Mus musculus: one gene and its partners. The protein of the gene in region 3 binds, or shares a complex with, the protein of the main gene of each other region. Links are inferred from orthologs where the notes say so. Each region holds a gene or a part of one and is shown on either strand. Other genes may lie near its edges.

Region 1 (3,962 bases), on a different chromosome or scaffold from region 3:
AAGTCTGCTCACCCCAAGAACTCTAACCAGGAGCCCCTCTGGCCTCAGATCCCAAGACTTGCTGGAAGTTGGACATGGGAAGAAGCAAGCGGGATCTCCTTCAAACTCAACCAATGCTAACTGGGTTCTCCTTCCCTCCTTTCCCCTGCCTTTCCCTGGAGGAGGAAGAGGAAGAAGAAGAGGAGGAGGAGGAGGAGGAAGAGGAGGAGGAGGAGGAGGGGGAGAGGAAACATAGTTGGTATGGGATGCCCAGATTCAAGGCTATCTCCTTTCTCACAACTAGCAGCCGCAGCCATTTGGCTGGCCAGCCTGGCCTCAGCATAGACCCAAGGCTACTCTACAAAATATGCAGGAATCCATCTTCCAGTCTTCAACAGGGGCTTTCCCAATGGCATGTTCTCTATCAGCTGCTTTCCAAGGAAATGGGTCTACATAGTGAGTTACAGGACAGCCAGGACTATATAGAGAGACTTGGAAAACCAACCAACCAAACAGACATCCCCAGTGCCTGTAGGAAGCTTCCAGACCAGCTCTAAACAAGCAGAGCCAAGGGCTGACGCAGAGACTCATCAGTGATATACTAGGCCCATGAATCTCCAAAGAAAGCCACATGGGAAAGATAAACCCCGCTAGTATCCTTGGAACCACGTCTATCTCTGTTTATACCCAAACTCGTCATTTTCTTTTTAGATAGGAGTTGAAATGAAGGGGGTCACTTATCCCCACTCCGACCCCCAGTTAGGTATCTCCTGGGTATCTGATTCCTGGGCTGGAGAGATGGCTCAGTGATTAAGAGCGCCGACTGCTCTTCCAAAGGTCCCGAGTTCAAATCCCAGCAACCACATGGTGGCTCACAACCATCTGTAACGAAATCCGATGCCCTCTTCTGGTGTGTCTGAAGACAGCCACAGTGTGCTTACATATAATAAATAAATGAATCTTTAAAAAAAAAAAAAGAAATCTGATTCCTGGGTGGAATATGCATACATCATGAAGATCTATTTCTGAGACTTCTACCTAGAGACACCAGCAGGGGACAGAGCAAGCTACAGTGCACACCTCTCACCTCTCTGGCACATAGGTTGAGAGACATATGGCCTTGTCAGGAACCTGAGGGATAAGGAAAGAGAGGTTGGGCGTGATAGTGTGTGACTGTAATGCCAGACACTTGAGAGAAAAGAGTTCAAGGTGGGCTTTGGCTACACAGCCAGCCTGGACTATATGAGACCCTGTATCAAAAAGCAAGTAACAAAAGTGACAAGGATGTGGGAGAAGGATGGGCACAATCCCCAGGAAAGGAGGTGCAGCTCCCTGATACAGCAATCGTCTGCCACGTGCAAAGCCCTGCCTGGATTCCATGCTCAGCACCAAAATGCAAAAGCAAAACAAAATTCCCAAACATTCTGGAGCCACTTGAACCAGAGCTCTGGGGAATGAGGAGCGCCACATGCAGAATCAGGCTGAGTTCCCAATGCACTGACCACGGGTCCTGTCTCTGCTTGTCAATGGCCTTTGATGCTGCAACCTGAGACAGCTCTCTGCCAAGACAGAAGGGTCAGGGCAGTACCCTGTGCAGCCCAAGACCAGCAGGACTCCACAAAGCCTCCCTGCTCCTCCAAACTTTACTGGACACTGGCATCAAGAAGGAAAGCCCCGTACAGAGGATATCTTGAATGGTCTGTTAATGGGATCGGGCCTTCTTCAGACCTGGACACAGCTATTTCTAATCTATCCTGGAGTTATCTGGGCCCAATCTCTTTAGTCTCCCATTTCGTAGGAAGCCTGGCTTCCTTCCTCCTCAACTTGAGCAGCTGGGAGCCATCTCAGACATACTAACGCTCTGCCAGTTCCCAACTAGGAAGAAAAAAAAAAAAAAAAAGAAAGAAAGAAAGCCAAGGCAGAGATGCAGTGGGACCGAGGCCAAAGAAAGAGTAACCCTGTTTTCTCACTAACGACCCTCTTCCAAATTTTCCTCACCACATCCCGGGTCACTCCCTCACCTCCACTCCGGGACCTGTCTTACACTTTCAACCTGATTGCCCACAATTCTCTAGATCTCACGAAGCCTCCATCTCTAAGTTACTCGGAGCCAAGAAGCCCCGGGACTCCTCTAACTGCTCAAGCCCTCCACCGCAGAGGGCTTTCACCCTTTCCCCAACACTGCCTCCAACCCCGAGCCACTAACCAAGGGACTCTGGCCTGCCCGCCACCAGCCCTCGACAGTTCCTCCTGCAGTGTCCCCTGGGCCGCCTGTCCTCACCTGAGGCCCCAGGGAGACCGACACAGCGCCCTCGCGGCGCCGCTCGCCTGCCCTCCTCACCTGGTACTGCGCCGCGGGGCCAGCGGGGCCCATGGGGCGGAAGGCGGCGGCCCCCGGTACCCCCATGCCTCCAGAAGGCCCCGGGCCCCTGAGCGCCGGGCTGGGCAGCATTCCGGGTCCCGCAGGCGGAGGCGGCGCACCAAGGGCCGCGGCAACGGCGCCGCCGCCGGGGCTCAGCGGAGGCAGCGGGAACCCGCCCGCGCCACGGCCGGACATCACTCTGTCCCGTCCCGCGGTGCAGCGATCCGGCCTCCGGTCTCCGTGTTGAGTCCGCTCCGCGAGCTACGTTCCGCGATCCGGGACTTCCCGATTTTACTACCGGGTTCCGGGATCTTCTACTCCAAGTTCGCAAGTTCTTTGCAGCCCGGCTTTAGGATCCCGCGGCCCCTCTGACTCCGCTCCTGCCAGGGATACTCCAGATCCGGGATGTGCCGCGAGCCCGCAGGCCTCTCCCGGCCTCCGGAGGTTTGATCGCCGGAGTCCAGTTACCCAGAGGCGGTTACGAACTCCCAGCCCCGCCCAACCTAGACCCTGCAGGCCCCGCCCCTGCCCGGCAACCCAATCGAGAATGCCTCTTTAAATCCCGCCCTCGCGAGACCCGCCTCAAACCAGCACCTCCCATAACTGACGGCCTTAGAGCCCCGCCCTTGGGGGAGGCGGCCTTTTCCCGGAGGAGCGGGAGCGGAAGCTGCACGCGGAAGCGCGGAGGAGAAAGGCGTGGGGTCAGAGTTCGAAGGTCGCGTAGGGCCGTCCGAACTGTTAGGTGTTTGCTGTTTGCTCCGTAGTGCTGCTGCCTCGGCGAGATCCCCGATATGGCCCATCCAAAACAGTTCCGTCAATTCTGCGTCTTCAAGCCTTAAAAATAAGCGATCCGCGGCGGGAAAGCCGCCAACCACTTTTTAAGAGCCCATCTCGGGGCCGGTGGCATAAGGCACCCCACACCCACCCACCCATCTACCCCCAGAAGCCTGTATTGGTTGCTCCGCGCTTCCAAGGACATGGGCGGCCCCAGACGTGACCCAGCTGAGTGAAAGCTTGGCTTGGCCCAACTCCGAGTACTTAACTGCACTAACTTGCCCGTGCCTTTCTTTAAGGAAGCCTGGTAATTCGCAGAAAATGTTTTTAGGTGAAGGGATTTTGCATGCTGAGAGAACTCCAGGTACTGAAATAAGTTTTATCCAGTTTGTATAGGACTTAGTTTTGAAAAGTTGAGAATCAGCCGGGCGTGGTGGCAAACGCCTTTAATCCCAGCACTTGGGAGGCGGAGGCAGGTGGATTTCTGAGTTCAAGGCCAGCCTGGTCTACAAAGTGAGTTTTAGGACAGTCAGGACTACACAGAGAAACCCCGTCTCGAAAAACCAAAAAAGAAAAGAAAAGTTGAGAACCTTTTCAGAAACCACTGGCTTCGGCTATGTTATAGACCTACCCTCTGTCAATGTGGTATCTCCTACCCACGGTATAGAATAGTGCTACTTAACTAGGCACTGAAAATCCTCAGAATCAGGTTGGGGGTGTAACTCAGGTTATAGCGTGCACAAAGCCCTGGGCTTGAACCCCAGACTGCATCAACTACATGGTGGTGCATCCTCAAAATCCCAGCACACAGGAGGAGGCAGGTGGGCCAGAAGTTCAGGATGGTTCT
Region 2 (4,103 bases), on a different chromosome or scaffold from region 3:
TCTGAAAGTTCTGGACTGCTTTGTAATTGTATTTTACTTTATTCATCGAGAGTCGTAAAAGGCGAGAGCAGGTGGAATTGTGAACTGCAATTCAGCATCTCTCGGTTTCCTTTTCACTTCCCAGCCCCCAGCTATTTGACCTGATTAAACAGCCAAGGGGGCCATAGCCCGGCTTCTATAAGCTAACGATGCCTGTGCCCTCTAAGTGATTTCATGAGTTTTCGCCCACTCCGAGTCTCCCTGTGCTCCGTGGAAGTCTGAGTTCGCAGAAGTCTCTCAGTTTCTTCTGGGGTTTATCAGATTCTGAGCAGCCGCATACTGGGGAAGCCAGGAGTCACGTCTGAACATTCACTTGCAAATTCTTTTCACCTCCTATCTTAGTCCAGAAAGGTGACGCCTGAATTCTCAGAGCCGTTCCCAGAGGGGACTCAGGCAACACCTACCTCAGGCTCTAACAATTTTTGCATAGTTACTGACTTCCCTAGCTGCGTTTCCTAAAGTTGCCTCAAAATTTCCCCAACCTTCTGCCTAAAAAGCGCCAGGTCTCACTTCGCTCCCAAGCTGGCCATGTCAGATCAGTGTGAATCGTTGACAGTGGAGAACGGTGGTCGTAGGGGACCGCGCGGAGTGACCACCCGTGAATTACGTAACAAAAGCCGTGGCTGTCCGCAAGCCTGACACTGAGACATTCCAGGAGGAAGGGAGTTGCTGTCCTGGACTCTCCAGTTCTCAGAAACCGCCCGGGGAAGGTGGCTGAGATCAAGAAAACACTTCGGGAACAAGAATATTGAACAGCCGCGGAACCCAGAACATTATTAGCAAACAGTGGAACACGAGTAGTAATTTCTTGGAGGAAACTGCAGCCTTCCAACTTTTTGCACTGCAACACGGTGGTGTACAAGGAGCTCGGGGGTTAAAAACCGTGATTTACAAAGCCCAGAGCTAATGAATGGGGTTAAGTGGTTTTGTTGGCACTATGTAAATATTCTTGTCCAGGAGCGCAAACTCTGCAGTTATTTAGCAAAGTAGGGACTCCAACTAAGCGAGAATGCTCTCCCATGTTGTCTCCACGAGTTCCAATCTAAAAGGGCGCTACTAACACGGTACTGCCCCTTTAAGACCTGCTCGCTCTCGGGCTCTACAAAAGGGAGTGACCTCTGGGCTTTGACAGCTCCCCTAATAACTACCACCACGCAGGCCCCGCCCACTTGGCGACCAGCCGCGCCGATTGGCCGGTAGGCCGGTATCCCGTGCTCTGATTGGCCTGCCGCTTCCCCTGAGCGAACCTTTAGAACTCTGAGACAGACAATATTCTGTTACATTGTAGCAAAATGGCGACTGTCATTCACAACCCCCTGAAAGCGTAAGTAAGACTAAAAAATGTACATATTCCGCGTGGTTTCAATATGAAAAAAAGGCGCCTTGTGGAGCGCAGCCGGCGCCCGGCTCTCGCAGACACCTCCCGCTGCGCCCGGGCTCCTCTTTTCTTCCTGCTCTTACTTCTTCATCTTTTTTTTTCCTCCCAGCGCGCAGAAATGTCAGGAGATGCAATTAACAAAAAGAAAATTGTTACATTTGTGTTCTGCTTAATTGGCTGACCGGGACCGGGAGGGAACACAGAGCGGCGGCGCCGGCTCAGGAGCTGCGGGGGTCGTGAGCAGCCCGGGTCTTCACGGTTCTCGGAGTCCCCTGCCTCTCCCGGCGCCGCGCGGAGCTGGCTGAGGCTGGCCAGAGCGCGGGGTTGGCTGAGCCTGGCCGGAGCGCGGGGCAGAGACCGCGTCGTGCGCTCGGCTGAGCCCTGCACTCCAAGCCCGAACCTTCCCGGCCCCGCTGCTCGTCCACCCAGGCGGGCAGACGGACCGCAGCGGCTGCGGAGTTTTGCAGGGCGTTCGCTCTGCCTTCCGAGCTCTCGCAGGGAGTTTGTGTAAACCTTCCGGAGTTGGGAGGACAGCGCGCGGAGCGGCGGGTCCCGGGAGTCCTGGGGCCCAGGTGCTTGCCCCGGGCTTTTCCACTCCGGCAGCCGGGGATCAGGCAGGCGCTCCGGGCGGTCGCCGGTGTGTCTGTGTATTTGTAGGCTAACTGGCTCTAGTAAATTAACGATCCGGGTTAACTTGGGGTTGATATGGAGGCAGGGAAACTGCAGGTCTTATAAATGGTGTGCTTGCCTGCTCTGGGTGAAAAGCCGAGGCGGTGGAGGCGGCGGTGGAGGGCTCTGGCGACAGCGAGGGGCAGGTGCCTCCCGGAGACTTTGAGCGGACACAGGGGGGCGGGCTGCGCAAGGACTCGCGGGGGCCGGTTCCCGATCGGAGCTGCCTGCCCGCCGGTCTTCCTTCCTTCCTTCCTTCCTTCCTTCCTTCCTTCCTTCCTTCCTTCTTCCAGTCGGTGGACTGAATATGAAGCCGCAAGTCCGCGGGTGATCGCGGAGCCGGGGGTGGCCTCGGAAAACTAGTGTGGCTCTCAAGGGGCGCTATTGGCAGGCATGTTGGCAGAGGGTGGATCCTTGGGAATCGCGGCGCGGCGTGGGCACCCAGTGGGTGCCCGGTGTACTAGGACTTCCCCGCCCTGATGAAAGCCAGTGGGAGTCGGAGGGTGAGCGTGGGTGTTTAGTGCCAATTCTTCCCGGTGTGTGTCAGTGGTCGATCTTGGCTCTTTTAGCTGCGCGCTACAGCGTCCCTGGCTATGGGAGTCGAAAACACCGTTCGCTTTGGGGAGCAGCAGGGCGGCGGCGAGAGAGTGTGCGTGGGATTCCTAGTGCCAAGAAACCCGTAGGGAGAACCCGCTGCGTTTGCACCAGCCAACAACCAGGAATAGGGCAGGGATGTCCCAGATCTTGGAGTTTCCATGAGATATTGCTGTAAAGACGGAGGCTGAGCTTGATGCGAGTTCCTGGCTCCCGTTCTCGTTCGGAAGCTCAGCTACTTTGCACTCGCGACAGCGTCTCACCGAAGAGAGAAATTGTTTTATGGCAGAAGAAATGGGCGTAACTTCCCCGCTCCTCGCCGACTCCCGCCGCCACACCGCTGGGGCTGGGAGTTTCTCCAGAACCCACACACAGCTGATTTGCAATTTCCTCATTTCCAGCCGAAATCACGTAGCCGAGCTGATGCTGCTTGGTAAACTCAAGTCGGAGAGATCTATTTGCTATGTGTACAGGGTTCTTCATTGGCAAAGCGGCATCCTTGATGCCCGGGAGCGGGCTTACGCTCGGGCGCGCGCAGGAGCTCCACACTCCTGGGTCCCCCAGATCTTTCCACTTTTTTTTTTTTTTTCCACAGAAGAGTGCATGTATAAGAAATTGTGGGGGAGAAGGAACAGAGAAGCTAGAAGGTGGCCAATCAGTTAATAGAACTAGTTCAGATTTACACTTGTATCCCTTAATAATTGGAAATACTTGCCGTGGGATGCATTTGTAACTCCGTCTTGGCTCACGCACGCGGACGCTCACACAACACCCCTGTCTGCCTTTCCTCAGAGGAAGTCGAATGGTCACTTATAATTAGCCGCCCCCTTTTGCATCCAGTCCTCTTCCCCTGAGGGCTAAGGGTGTAAATAATAACCCCAATCGGTCAAGCTATTTGCACCCTGGACATTTTAAAAACTCCGCACGCAGGAGCACACACATCGTTACCGGGAGACTGAGGCCATCTGCTTTATTATTATTATTATAAAAACAACTTGTTTAATAAAACATCTTATACATGCCATTTGTTTCTAGAAGTTGCTGATCAGGAAACAAAACACACGTGAATAAATTATGCATGGGCCAAATTAGAACAAAGCATAGCAACCCAGCAAGCTGAAGGGATGGATGGGGGGGGGGCAGGGAGGAGGAGGAGTGAGGAGAATGGCTTGGAGAGCTTATGTGTTTATCCTTGTGTGCCCCTCCTGACAATGAACCGGAGCTCCAAACTGCATTAGCATTTTCTCCGGGTGCAAGCAGTCTTTCTCGTCTTAAAAAGGCAACATCACGGACGCCCCCTACAGAAGAAACTGGTCACACAAAGATTTCCTCTTGGGCCTGGGGATAAGCAGCAGTAGTTACGGTGTTGGGAAGAAGCCAGCTCGGGTTTCTTTCATGCCACCCTGTGTAGGGCTATGCCTTA
Region 3 (4,198 bases):
CACACAAACAACACACACACATACCAAAAATAATATGTCAGTTTTTCAAATGCAGAGAGCTAGGCAATGGTAACACATGCCTTTGATCCAAGCACTCAGGAGGCAGAGACAGACAGATGTCTGTAAGTTCAAGGCCAGCCTGGTCTACAAAGCTAATCTCAGGACAGCCATGGCTACCCAAAGAAACACTGTCTCAAAAAAAAAAAAAAATCAAACAACAAAGCAAAACAAACAAACACAGAAAGGGGCTGGAGAGATGGCTCAGTGGTTAAGAGTACTCTTTGGTCTTGGCAAGACCCGAGTTCAGTTCCCAGCACCCACAGTGGGTGGCCTCTAGCTCTAGTTCCATGGGCTCTGATGTCCTCTCCTGGTCTCCATGGGCATTGCACATATGTGATGTTTAGAAATATGGATAGGGTGAGATCTGGTGGTGTTCACCAGTCAGCACAGCCCTCAGGAGGATCTCAAGTCTGAGGCCAGCATGAGCTACACAGGGAGAGCTTGTCTCAGAAACAGACAAATGGAGCTGGCAAGAGAACTCAGTAGGTGAAGACATTTGCCACCAAGCAAGACCACCTGAGTTTAATCTCAGAATACACAGGAGAAAGGAGAGAACCTGCAATTTGTCCCTTGCCATATGTGTGTGTGCACACACAAATAAATAAGCAAACAAACAATAAAACGGGCAAACAATATATATATATATATATATCCAAACTGAAATCCTAGCATGAAATGATCCATTTAAATCCTACCCCTAGCAGAGGACCTATTGTTAACTGGTGGCTGCCTCTATGTAGTCACAACTGTCCTGGAACTCACTATGTAGTTGAATATTGATTTAAATTGCTGATCCTTCTGCTTCTACCTCCTGAGTGCTTGGATTACAACTGTAACTTCCCCTCCCCCCTTCAGTAGCGAGGCTTGAACCCAGAACCTTTTGCATGCCAGGCAAGATCTCTCACAACTTAGCTACATTGGTAATATTCATATATATGTATAACATGGACCAAAAAATGTGTGTGTGAACAACGCAGGGCAATGGAGTGGATGGAGCTGGAAGAGAGAAGGCGGGATGGAGGGTAAGCCAGGGAGGAAGGGAGGTGACAGAAGATGACAGTGTGAGCAGGACGAATCTGGAAAGGGAAGGGAAGTGACAGATAGTAGCGACTCCACATTAGAGGTGATGGCAGAAAGGATGTGTCTCCAGGGACTCAGGGCTGGACGTGGGTCTGGATGAGGCACTCACCGGAGCCTCCGACATGAGTACTGGGTGCAGGTTTGGCTCGGACTTGACATGTTTGCTGTAGGTATGATCCAGGATGGCTCGGAAGCACTCCCAGTCCTCAACTAGGGACAGAGGACCAGCGTGGAGAGATAGATGGGAAGGTGGGAAGGAAGGCAAGGATCAGAGACAGGAAGTAAAGGAAGGAGGGAGGCCAAGTCTGAAGGTAGGTGAGTCCAACTTCTGCTTACAAGCACCACCCCCCTTAAGTTCCAGAATTCTAGGGGAACTGGTCTGAAATCCCAGCAGTTGTAGGGAACAGTGAGACCCTTGGGACTTGGGCAGCAGCAAGCAAGGTTCTGTGGGTATGGAGATCGGCAGCCACACACTGGGCGTGGGGCTCCCAGTCTGTTTCAGAAAGTAGTGGGTGAGGGTCCCTTACTCATGCCATTCTTGAGGGGCGACATGACCTCCGCTCCATCCCGAGGCACGTGCAGGGCATTGGTGTCGATGTGGAAAATCTTCCCTTTCTTCTCTTTCTCCCCCTCCAGCTCCAGCCCGCCCCCCTCTTCTGCGGCCAGCAGCCCCACAGTGGTGGGGAAGTCAGCCTGGTTACAAGGAACATGAGCAGGGAGCTAGATTATTCCCTTCTTTTTTGGAGACAGGCTCTCACTGTGAACCTCTGGCTGGCCTGGAACTGTCGCTGTAGACCAGGCTGGACTTGAACTTACAGAGATCTGCATGTCTCTGCGTCCAGAGTGATGGGATTTAAAGGAACGCACTACCCTGCCCAGCTGGATCATCCCTGCTAGTCCCTGGTTCAATTGCACTCAAGGCCCTCAGCCACCCCCGGGGTCCTTCCCCTGTCTCCACTCAGGTGAGCTACTTGAATTGACCTGTGCGCATTTGTTCATAGGCCGACCCGCCTGGCAGAGGGTGTCCGAGCCCCTGGGATTTGGGGAGGGGACTGGAAGGCTCACCTTGGGGCAGTCCTCCCCAGCGTACCCAGCTCGGACTGAGAAAGAGCCAATGTCAAAGACGAGCGCCCCCACCTCATCTGTGCAAGGAGACAGGCTTGTGAGGAGACCTCTCCCAAACTGTCTCCCTATATAGCTTGGAGAGGATTCTGGGGTTATAGCCACAGTTTAAACTTCAGCGGGGAGTGGGTGGGAGATCCACCTGGACTTCAGGGCGTTCTGGAAGTAGAGGGTCAAAGCCACCAGAGTTCCCTCTTGCCTAGCGGCCTGGCAGGGAAAAGAAAGGTCCAGGGCCCGAGAGGCAGTGTACACTTGGGAACCCCAAGAGAATGGAAAGCAGAAGTAGTGGGAGACCCAAACCTCAGACTGGACCTGATGCAGTACGGAGGTGACAGGCCCAGGGATGCTCAGGGCTTGGGACGCGCGGGTTCGGGATGCAGGGCTGTAGACCAGGCCGAGAGCCCAGTGCCCCAGGCCGGCTCACCTCCGCCGTAGACGCCCCCGCTCATAGTGCCCTCTCTACGCTGCTCGCGGCCCGTGGGCGGCGGCGGGATCAGCACCGAGGCGGCCGGACAGCTCCCGGGATCCCGGGCGGGGCGGGGCGCAGCGGCGGCCAATCAGAACACTGGATCCCCTGCCCCCAACGGCGCGGCCGATTGGTTATGAAGCGAGACAATAACCCGGCTGGGGGCCGCTGCTTTAAAGGTACAGCCGCTTCTTCATTCCGAGGTTGGGAGGAGGCGAGGGTCCAATTGCAAAGACTATGGACACAGAGAAAAGAGGAAAGAGATGGAGACGAGGACTCCACAGGGCAACGGATGGAATGGGACCTTCTGATGACATGGGACCCTCGTTTCTTGGTCTTTTTTATTTATTCATATTTTTACGTAGGTGAGGGAGGGGTCTCCTCTCAACCAGAGATGTCCATCCTCAGACTCCTGAGCCAGAGTCTACCGCATTCAGTCTAAATGCAATCACAGAAATGAGGAGATGAGAAGACTGAGGGACCAGAGGAGTATGCCTCTCCATCTCTTCCTGTGTCTTTTTACCTTTGTCTCTGGGCTTATTTATTTATTTATTTATTTGACCAGAATGGTCTCAAACTCAGAGAGATTTCCATGCCGCTGCCTCCAGTACAGCACACGACTAGATTTTCCTTTTTCTTCCTTCCTTCCTTCCTTCCTTCCTTCCTTCCTTCCTTCCTTCCTTCCTTCCTTCTTTCTTTCTTTCTTTTCTTTCTTTTTTTCGAGACAGGGTTTCTCTGTGTAGTCCTGGCTGTCCTGGTAATCACTCTGTAGACTAGGCTGGCCTCGAACTTAGAAATCTGCCTGCCTCTGCCTCCCAAGTGCTGGGACTAAAAGCGTGCGCCACCACTGCCCAGCCCACAACTGGCTTTTCTTTTATTTAAGACAGGGTCTCATGTAGCCCAAACTCAAACTAATATATATATGAGGATGGCTTTGAACTTGTGGTCTCTTTACCTTCACTTCCTGGGTACTAAGATTACAAAGCCTATGCCAACACCCCAGTTTATGAGGGTCAGGGGATGGAACCCAGGCCTTCAGCATGTTAGACATGAACCGCATCTCCAGCCCCTTTCCTTCATCTTTCTGATGGCCATTTTTCCTTCTTGACTTTGTACATAACATATAATAAACATGTGAGTGCTCATGGCTAACATATAGTCACCTGGCTAACCTAGCAAGCCTTCTTTTTTACTATTTCTAAATTTTGAGATTATAATATATATGTATATATACTTAAAGATTTATTTATTTTATGTACACGAGCACACTGTCGCTGTTTGTCTTCGGACACACCAGAAGAGGGCATCGAATCTCATTACAGATGGTTGTGAGCCACCATGTGTTTTGGGAATCGAACCCAAAGCCTCCGGAAGAGAGCAGCCAGTGCTCTTAACCACTGAGCCACCTTTCCAGCCGTGAGATTTCAGGGATGACCGTTTTGTACTGATTTGTTCTTCCCTGGGGAAGAT

Evidence for each region. Proteins that work in one complex are often made in the same cells at the same time.
Region 1: Actl6b (region 3) and Smarcd2 share a complex: the UniProt entries of both Homo sapiens proteins name them as parts of the BAF complex. The link is inferred for Mus musculus from reciprocal best matches to the Homo sapiens genes ACTL6B and SMARCD2.
Region 2: Actl6b (region 3) and Dpf3 share a complex: the UniProt entries of both Homo sapiens proteins name them as parts of the BAF complex. The link is inferred for Mus musculus from reciprocal best matches to the Homo sapiens genes ACTL6B and DPF3.

What each region holds. Positions count from the first base shown.
Region 1 is NC_000077.6:106,270,173-106,274,134, forward strand, and holds the start of Smarcd2 (SWI/SNF-related matrix-associated actin-dependent regulator of chromatin subfamily D member 2), read right to left. Parts: upstream 2,801-3,962; 5' UTR 2,537-2,800; coding exon 2,321-2,536; coding exon of another isoform or gene 2,261-2,320; intron 1-2,260. Other genes in the region: Tcam1 (testicular cell adhesion molecule 1), read left to right, coding at 3,462-3,479. UniProt on the Homo sapiens protein: Involved in transcriptional activation and repression of select genes by chromatin remodeling (alteration of DNA-nucleosome topology).
Region 2 is NC_000078.6:83,484,937-83,489,039, reverse strand, and holds the start of Dpf3 (zinc finger protein DPF3), read left to right. Parts: upstream 1-1,303; 5' UTR 1,304-1,331; coding exon 1,332-1,363; intron 1,364-4,103. UniProt on the Homo sapiens protein: Belongs to the neuron-specific chromatin remodeling complex (nBAF complex).
Region 3 is NC_000071.6:137,552,148-137,556,345, reverse strand, and holds the start of Actl6b (actin-like protein 6B), read right to left. Parts: upstream 2,801-4,198; 5' UTR 2,712-2,800; coding exon 2,687-2,711; exon of another isoform or gene 2,563-2,686; intron 2,283-2,562; coding exon 2,206-2,282; intron 1,834-2,205; coding exon 1,668-1,833; intron 1,351-1,667; coding exon 1,250-1,350; intron 1-1,249. UniProt on the Homo sapiens protein: Involved in transcriptional activation and repression of select genes by chromatin remodeling (alteration of DNA-nucleosome topology).